Rattus norvegicus: one gene and its partner. The main gene of each other region encodes a partner of the protein of the gene in region 2 in a complex. Links are inferred from orthologs where the notes say so. Each region holds a gene or a part of one and is shown on either strand. Other genes may lie near its edges.

Region 1 (3,138 bases), on a different chromosome or scaffold from region 2:
AAAATTATAACTCCTGTCATCCAGCAAGAAGATGGTCCAGAGGATGACCCACAGTTGGTTGGAATCACTGCCCGGAACATTCCAAGAGGAGCCCAGCTAGCTGCTGAGAACCTGGGCATCAGCCTGGCAAGCTTGTTGCTCAACAAAGGAGCTAAGAACATCCTAGATGTTGCACGGCAGCTTAATGATGTGCGCTAACTGGCCTGCAGGGCACAGGAACCGAACCCCAGCTGTCACTCCAGTGCCTATGTCTGGCTGTCAAGTGCCCTGTGCTCCTTAACAAGGGGAATGATTATCCCAGGAGATTGAACCAGAGTTGTTGAGACTTCGGCCTTGGAAGATATGCCTCAACTTGGGGCCTCCATGACTGCCTTTCCCTCAGTAGTTTGTGGGCTTCATCTCTTTAGAGAAAGTCCATGCCAATCTTTTAATGTAACCAATGCCACTAATCAGTTCAGAATGTGGTTCTCCTGGAGTTGGGGGAAGATATGAATAAACCCAAAGCCCTTTTAAACCTGAATTCTGAGTCTGGGACCTTTCTGTTGTAAAACATCCTGATCATTCTCAACCAAGCAAAGAAACTAGCCTTCATCCCTACAGCCTGCCTGTCTTTAGTTAACAGGATCTTCACATAGCCTTTCATTCCCAGTGCCTGCAGAAAGGAAGGTAAGTTTATCCTCTAGTCCCACTCCCTCCCACGAGATGTTCTGGGCACATGGCTCCTCGACTATGGAGCTGTAAATGTCCAGCCCTGGGACTACAGCATTCAAAGTTAAGTTAGGCATTCAAAATTAAATCAGACACTCCGTTTAAAAAAAAAAAACAAACCAAAAACGATCCTTTAATAAAATTAGCCCATTGAATCTCCCCACTTCTTAAGGTTCTAAACTTGTAATAGCTGCAAAAGTTCCAGTTCAGAAGCCAGAGGCTCAGTCCAGACAGGGATTCACCGACTTGTGCTGGTATCTGGGTGTTTGGGTTGTAGTTTGAGTTAAGGGAGAGGGATAGCTAGGCCCGGCTCCTCTAGTCTTCTGCGGCAGGTATACAATTCTTCTGTCCACAGGCCAATAGGCGTTCCCTGACCCTTTCCAGTTTATCTTGGAAAAATTGGCTTCACGTTATAACATGCCGGCCTACAAATGACGACAGGGTCAACTGGTTTGAGAGGCCAGTAAGGGGGACACAGAGTGAAACAGTATGATCCGCTTCTCACCAAAGTCCGGCAATCAACTCACTTCTGAAAGGTCCAGGAGAGGGCTAAGCACCAAGCTGAAAACGCTGGGGTTGTAGCTGCGGGGGGGGGGGGTGGTGGTGGTGGTTAACTAACCTTCAAGCCCACCTCGGCCGTACGTCATAGCAAAGGGCCGAGATTTCTGGAAGGTGGAAGGTGCCGCAACCTCTCCGCACAGCCCGTCGACGACTGAGAACGGCGAAGCGATGTCACGAGCTCCGGGATGGGTAGGTGCCCCGGCGCCCGCGTCCTGTGGCAGACCCGGAGGCCGCACAGGGAAGGGTAAAGACGCGAGGACTGAGAGGAGAGAATGGGATGGGGACGCGGCGGGCCGGAGCCCGAAGTGGCTCAGCTCTTTCTGTGAGGGAGGTGGTGGCCCTTAAAAGGGCCTTTGTGGAGGTGGGGGAGGGCTGGGCAGCCGCGGCGCGGGCTCCCTCAGTACTCCTGAGAGGCCTGGGAGGCCTTCTTGCCGCCCGCCGGCGCCTTGGGCCCCACGGTGGCGCTGGTCTTCTTGGGCAGCAGCACGGCCTGGATGTTGGGCAGGACGCCGCCCTGCGCGATAGTCACGCCGCCCAGCAGCTTGTTGAGCTCCTCGTCGTTGCGGATAGCCAGCTGCAGGTGGCGCGGGATAATGCGCGTCTTCTTGTTGTCCCGAGCCGCGTTGCCCGCCAGCTCCAGGATCTCGGCAGTGAGGTACTCGAGCACCGCCGCCAGGTACACGGGCGCGCCTGCGCCCACGCGCTCGGCGTAATGGCCTTTCCGCAGCAGTCGGTGCACGCGGCCTACCGGGAACTGAAGGCCGGCGCGCGAAGAGCGCGACTTGGCTTTGGCGCGGGCCTTGCCGCCGGTCTTGCCGCGACCCGACATCGTGTGCGAGGTAGAAGGGCTGAGAAAAACGCCAGGAGACAAACCGCCAACCGCCGCAGTCAACTGTCGCCTCGCGCGGGCAAGCTCGCCCTTATAAACTCTCTGGACACGCCCCCGCTTCCGCCTAATTGGTTCTTTTTTTAATACCCACCTCTGGTTGGTTGCAATTAACCCTTCGGTGACGCGCCATAGCCGAGAGAACGCGCTCAGCGATTGGTCCAATTTGAAAACCTTTTACCCGGGGAAGAAGACAAGGCGGAGTGGCTGCAAGCCAGAGGCGAATCACCCTTGGAAATGGCCAATCAGTATAGAGCGCGCGAAATTTAAACGCTACGGCGCGCCCACAAACCCGAAGACTAGAAGGGTGGAGCTTGGAGCTACCTCTATGGTTTCTGGGAAATCTGAGCCGGCCTGTGGTTTTAAAGGAAAAGGGTCTTCACTGTAAGCACCTTTCTCCTTCCAGGTTAGGGCACTTCCTACTCCCTCCTCTAATCTGGCAAAGGGAAGGGTTTATTTATTTGCTTGTTCTTTATTATTATTTTTGGGTTTTCGAGACAGGGTTTTTCTGTGTAACTCTGGATGTCCTGGATCTCTCTGTAGACCAGGCTGGCTGCGAATTCTGAGATCTGCCTGCCTCAGCTTCCCAAGCGCTGGGATTAAAGGCGTGCACCACCACCATCTGGCTTTTATTTTAATGAGACAGGGTTTCTCTGATTAGCCCTTGGTGCCCCGGAACTCAGAGATCCGCCTGCCTCTGCCTCCCTTGTGCTGGGATTAAAGGCTTGGCTGAAAAGGGAGGGTTTAAAATGAAAGAAATGAAACCTTCTGAGAGTTTAATCCTGTGCCAGAAAACGGAGCACCGTTATCCATTATGCTATCACAAGTTTGTGCTGTAATATTTATTTGATATGTTCTGTCTGGTCTCAGTATGTGACAGACCTCTCTTACAAGAAAGGGTCTGAGGGGAGCAGGGGTAGGGATCCTATTGGAAAAGGTACCCACTCTAATCCTTTCAATCTATTCTAAAATGCCTATATAAA
Region 2 (3,816 bases):
GTTTCCTTGTAGACAAAGTATTTTTACATCACCCCTGGCATCTGCCCAAGCCTTGCCACTATGAAGGCAATTGTGGAGTGTGCAGGGGGGAAGGTGTTAGCCAAGCAGCCGTCCTTTCGGAAGCTCATGGAGCACAAGCAGAATAAGGTGAGAGAGCAGAGCTCCAGGAAGCCAGGGCTGTTCTACGTGGGTGCTTCTCTCCCTCACTCATGAGCTCCCTCTCTCTTCCTAGAGTCTGTCGGAGATAATTTTAATATCCTGTGAGAATGACCTGCACTTATGTCGAGAGTACTTTGCCAGGGGGATAGGTAGGTATGGCTCCCTGCACCTACACTGACCCGAGTGTCCTCAGTGGCCTTTCCTAACAGTTTTGGTTTGTCCCCTGCAGATGTTCACAATGCGGAGTTTGTTCTGACTGGAGTGCTCACACAGACACTGGACTACGAATCATATCCTTTACAAGGGCAGGGTGCACAGGGGACGGGGGAAGCTGGAGACACATTTGCAAGCTGAAAACAGACATGATGGTTCTGGTCTGCAGACCTTTCTCTTGCTGTTATAGGTGACCACCTAAGGACCTGTTTGGCTTATGTAGATGTTGAAGGATTTGACCATTTGACTCCATAGAAACTAATGGGAGTCCATGGCTGGGGCTGTTCTACACTCCGCAGTCATGAGTTAGGAAGTGACACAGCTTGATAGGCATTGTAGTTAAGGCACAGGTGTGCTGGGTATGGCATTGTAGTTAAGGCACAGGTGTGCAGGGTATGGCATTGTAGTTAAGGCACAGGTGTGCTGGGCACGGCATTGTAGTTAAGGCACAGGTGTGCTGGGTATGGCATTGTAGTTAAGGCACAGGTGTGCTGGGCACGGCATTGTAGTTAAGGCACAGGTGTGCTGGGCACGGCATTGTAGTTAAGGCACAGGTGTGCTGGGTATGGCATTGTAGTTAAGGCACAGGTGTGCTGGGCCCAGCATTGTAGTTAAGGCACAGGTGTGCTGGGTATGGCAATGTAGTTAAGGCACAGGTGTGCTGGGCCCAGCATTGTAGTTAAGCCACAGGTGTGCTGGGCCCAGCATTGTAGTTAAGGCACAGGTATGCTGGGTATGGCATTGTAGTTAAGGCACAGGTGTTCTGTGCTGGGCACAGCATTATAGTTAAGGCACAGTTGTGCTGGGTATGGCAATGTAGTTAAGGCACAGGTGTGCTGGGCCCAGCATTGTAGTTAAGCCACAGGTGTGCTGGGCCCAGCATTGTAGTTAAGGCACAGGTATGCTGGGTATGGCATTGTAGTTAAGGCACAGGTGTTCGTGTGCTGGGCACAGCATTATAGTTAAGGCACAGTTGTGCTGGGCCCGGCATTGTAGTTAAGGCACAGGTGTGCTGGGCACGGCATTGTAGTTAAGGCACAGGTGTTCTGTGCTGGGCACAGCATTATAGTTAAGGCACAGTTGTGCTGGGCCCGGCATTGTAGTTAAGGCACAGGTGTGCTGGGCACGGCACAGGTGTGCTGTGTACCTGTTGGACAGCTAAGGCTCGGGCTCCCAGGAAAGAAGTTTGCCAGTTTACAGTTCCTCTCAGAAAATCTCAGGCATTAGTTTTAGAATGACACAGATTCTAGAAAGGAGGTTTTACTTTATTACACAACTGGCCTGGCACCCTGTGGCCCAGGCTGGCTTCACAGGAATCCTCTTGCTTTCACCTTGAGTGCCAGGATTGCAGGCATGAGCCACCGTGCCCAGCTGGGGTGGTTACTTTAATGTGTGAACAGCCCCCAGGTCAGAGTGATATTGTCCCTGGCCCTTCATCTGTGTGGTCTTACCCAGCTGAGTGCATTTACCAAACACTTCCTCTTAGCACCGAGAACTCAGTAAATTGAGCTAGAAGACCCAACTTTGTGGCCAGTAGGAGTGTCTGGCAGGGACCCTCCTCGAAGCAGACTGAGCTGGGGAGCGACAGGAGGCTGGTGTGCTGTAACATCTGGTCTTTACGCAGCACGTTCTGTGGGATCTTTCCCAGACTTCTCCTTGCACTGCTTACACTCAGAACATCTGACCCACGCTTTTCCCATTGGTAGGGCTGCTTTTCCGGTTTCATCGGTCAGCTGAAGGCCCATCCCCACTCCTGTAGCCCAGTGGTTCCCAACCTGTAGGTCTCAACTCCTTTGGGGTCAAATGAACTTTTCACAGGAGTTGCATGTCAGATACTTACATTACAATTCATAACAGTAGTAAAGTTACAGTTATGAAGTAGCAATGAAAACACTTTTATGGTTGGCGCTCACCACAGCCGGAGGTATTAAAGGATTGCAGCGTTAAAGTGTTGAGCACCACTGCTGCCCTCAGTGTTGCCCTCATAAGACACTTAGATTACAGTTCTCTTAAGGACATGTTTTTGTGGTGGCTTTGGGGATAAGAAACCAGGAATGTGCCTTGGATTAGGCTTTAGCTATGACCTAAGAAGGGTGCCTTCACCCATGTGTCCAGTAGAGAGCCTGTGCCTTGGGTGTCGGAGTTTGCAGCAGGACAAGGTAACTTGGATGCAGGAAGAGGTGATCTCTAGAACTCTCTTCCAACGGGGCTCTGCTTAATGTGACCCCACTGCCTTGTGTGTAAAAACCATTTTCCTCAACAAGGCCACATATAAATTTAACTGATGGCCTCTTGGTGCTGCTAGCCTGGAGCCTGGAGCACAAGGGCAGCTGCTGGCAGCGCAAACCAGGACTCCCTCCCTGCAGAGGGCTTGTTTTCCAGCTCTGCCTTAGGGAGACATGAAATACTAACTGCATCGTGTTAAGATGTGTGACCTTATTCTAGGAAACATAAATTATGTTTGTATTATATGCCTAAGAGCCCACATTAAGTCTTCTGATTAATTTGCCAGGTTTTTAATGTGTTTTCAGAAAGCTGTATGAAATTTCATCTACAAATAAAAATGATGTAAATAAAGACTTTGCTGTCTAAATTATGGATGTTAAAGATATGAGATGTTTTGTACTTTGATTATTTTTATTTCTTACTTTTCTTTTATATTGATAACTTGCTCACATTTAAATAAATGTACTTTTGAACTTAGTAGAATTGAGTGATTATTTAAATTTCCTATTCTTTGCATAACATAAATAATTTTCAACAAACTGAGAAATTCCACAGCAGAATAATTTTGAAGTAACTCTTCTCCTGGAGAAATAAGTTTTGATGTTATTTCTTCATAAGCAGTCACCCTTACTTACCCAGCCTGGGCAGAGCCCCCAAAGCACAGTCTCCGTGTCCTCCACCCACGTGTCTCCCAGCCAGCCCTGATCTCTGGGGACTTCCCATTGGACTGTTTTGTATAGTTCTTATCTGCACACACATTCTTCTGTTAAACTGAGACGTTCCTAGTGGCCAGAGAGCTGCACCGGCAGGCGGAGTGTCCGTCTGAGCAACCTGAGACACTCCCTGCAGAGCTGGCCTTCATCTGCTGGAAGTTGTCACTATGAAATAGCCAGCTCCGAGTGTGGAAATTGGTGGGAATCGGGGTGAGCAGAAGAGCTCTATGTACGTGCACAGCGGGTTTGCCAGCACGCCATGTGCTGTGTCCCAGACCCTGGAAGAAGGTGGATGTAAGTTCAACAGCATCTCTGGAATGTCAGACATCTGTCACCTGGCAGGGGACAAGATGTTTCTTTAACAGAAGTATGACCAGTTTGATTAACCTTTCAATTGGCATCTTTTGAAAGTTGCCAAGGAATATGACTCGAGGAGCTGTCCAGAGCCCCAGGCTCACACAGCTGCTGAGCCTGAGGTTGGCTGGGAGGCGCAAGATGTGCAACA

The links.
Region 1: the proteins of Paxip1 (region 2) and H2ax are in contact, whole or in part, in a crystal structure (PDB 3SQD), measured with the Homo sapiens proteins. The link is inferred for Rattus norvegicus from reciprocal best matches to the Homo sapiens genes PAXIP1 and H2AX. Residues at the interface, in NP_031375.3 of Homo sapiens: Phe871, Thr872, Gly873, Phe874, Pro876, Lys907, Thr909, Arg910, Thr911, Val912, Lys913, Pro986, Glu1050, Leu1053; in NP_002096.1 of Homo sapiens: Gln138, Ser140, Gln141, Glu142, Tyr143.

The regions. Positions count from the first base shown.
Region 1 is NC_086026.1:53,567,746-53,570,883, reverse strand, and holds H2ax (H2A.X variant histone), read right to left. Parts: upstream 2,167-3,138; 5' UTR 2,099-2,166; coding exon 1,667-2,098; 3' UTR 812-1,666; downstream 1-811. Other genes in the region: Hmbs (porphobilinogen deaminase), read left to right, coding at 25-198. UniProt on the Homo sapiens protein: Variant histone H2A which replaces conventional H2A in a subset of nucleosomes. Nucleosomes wrap and compact DNA into chromatin, limiting DNA accessibility to the cellular machineries which require DNA as a template.
Region 2 is NC_086022.1:8,307,416-8,311,231, forward strand, and holds the end of Paxip1 (PAX-interacting protein 1), read left to right. Parts: intron 1-12; coding exon 13-147; intron 148-232; coding exon 233-308; intron 309-388; coding exon 389-449; coding exon of another isoform or gene 450-513; exon of another isoform or gene 514-2,640; coding exon of another isoform or gene 2,641-2,641; coding exon 2,642-2,657; 3' UTR 2,658-3,075; downstream 3,076-3,816.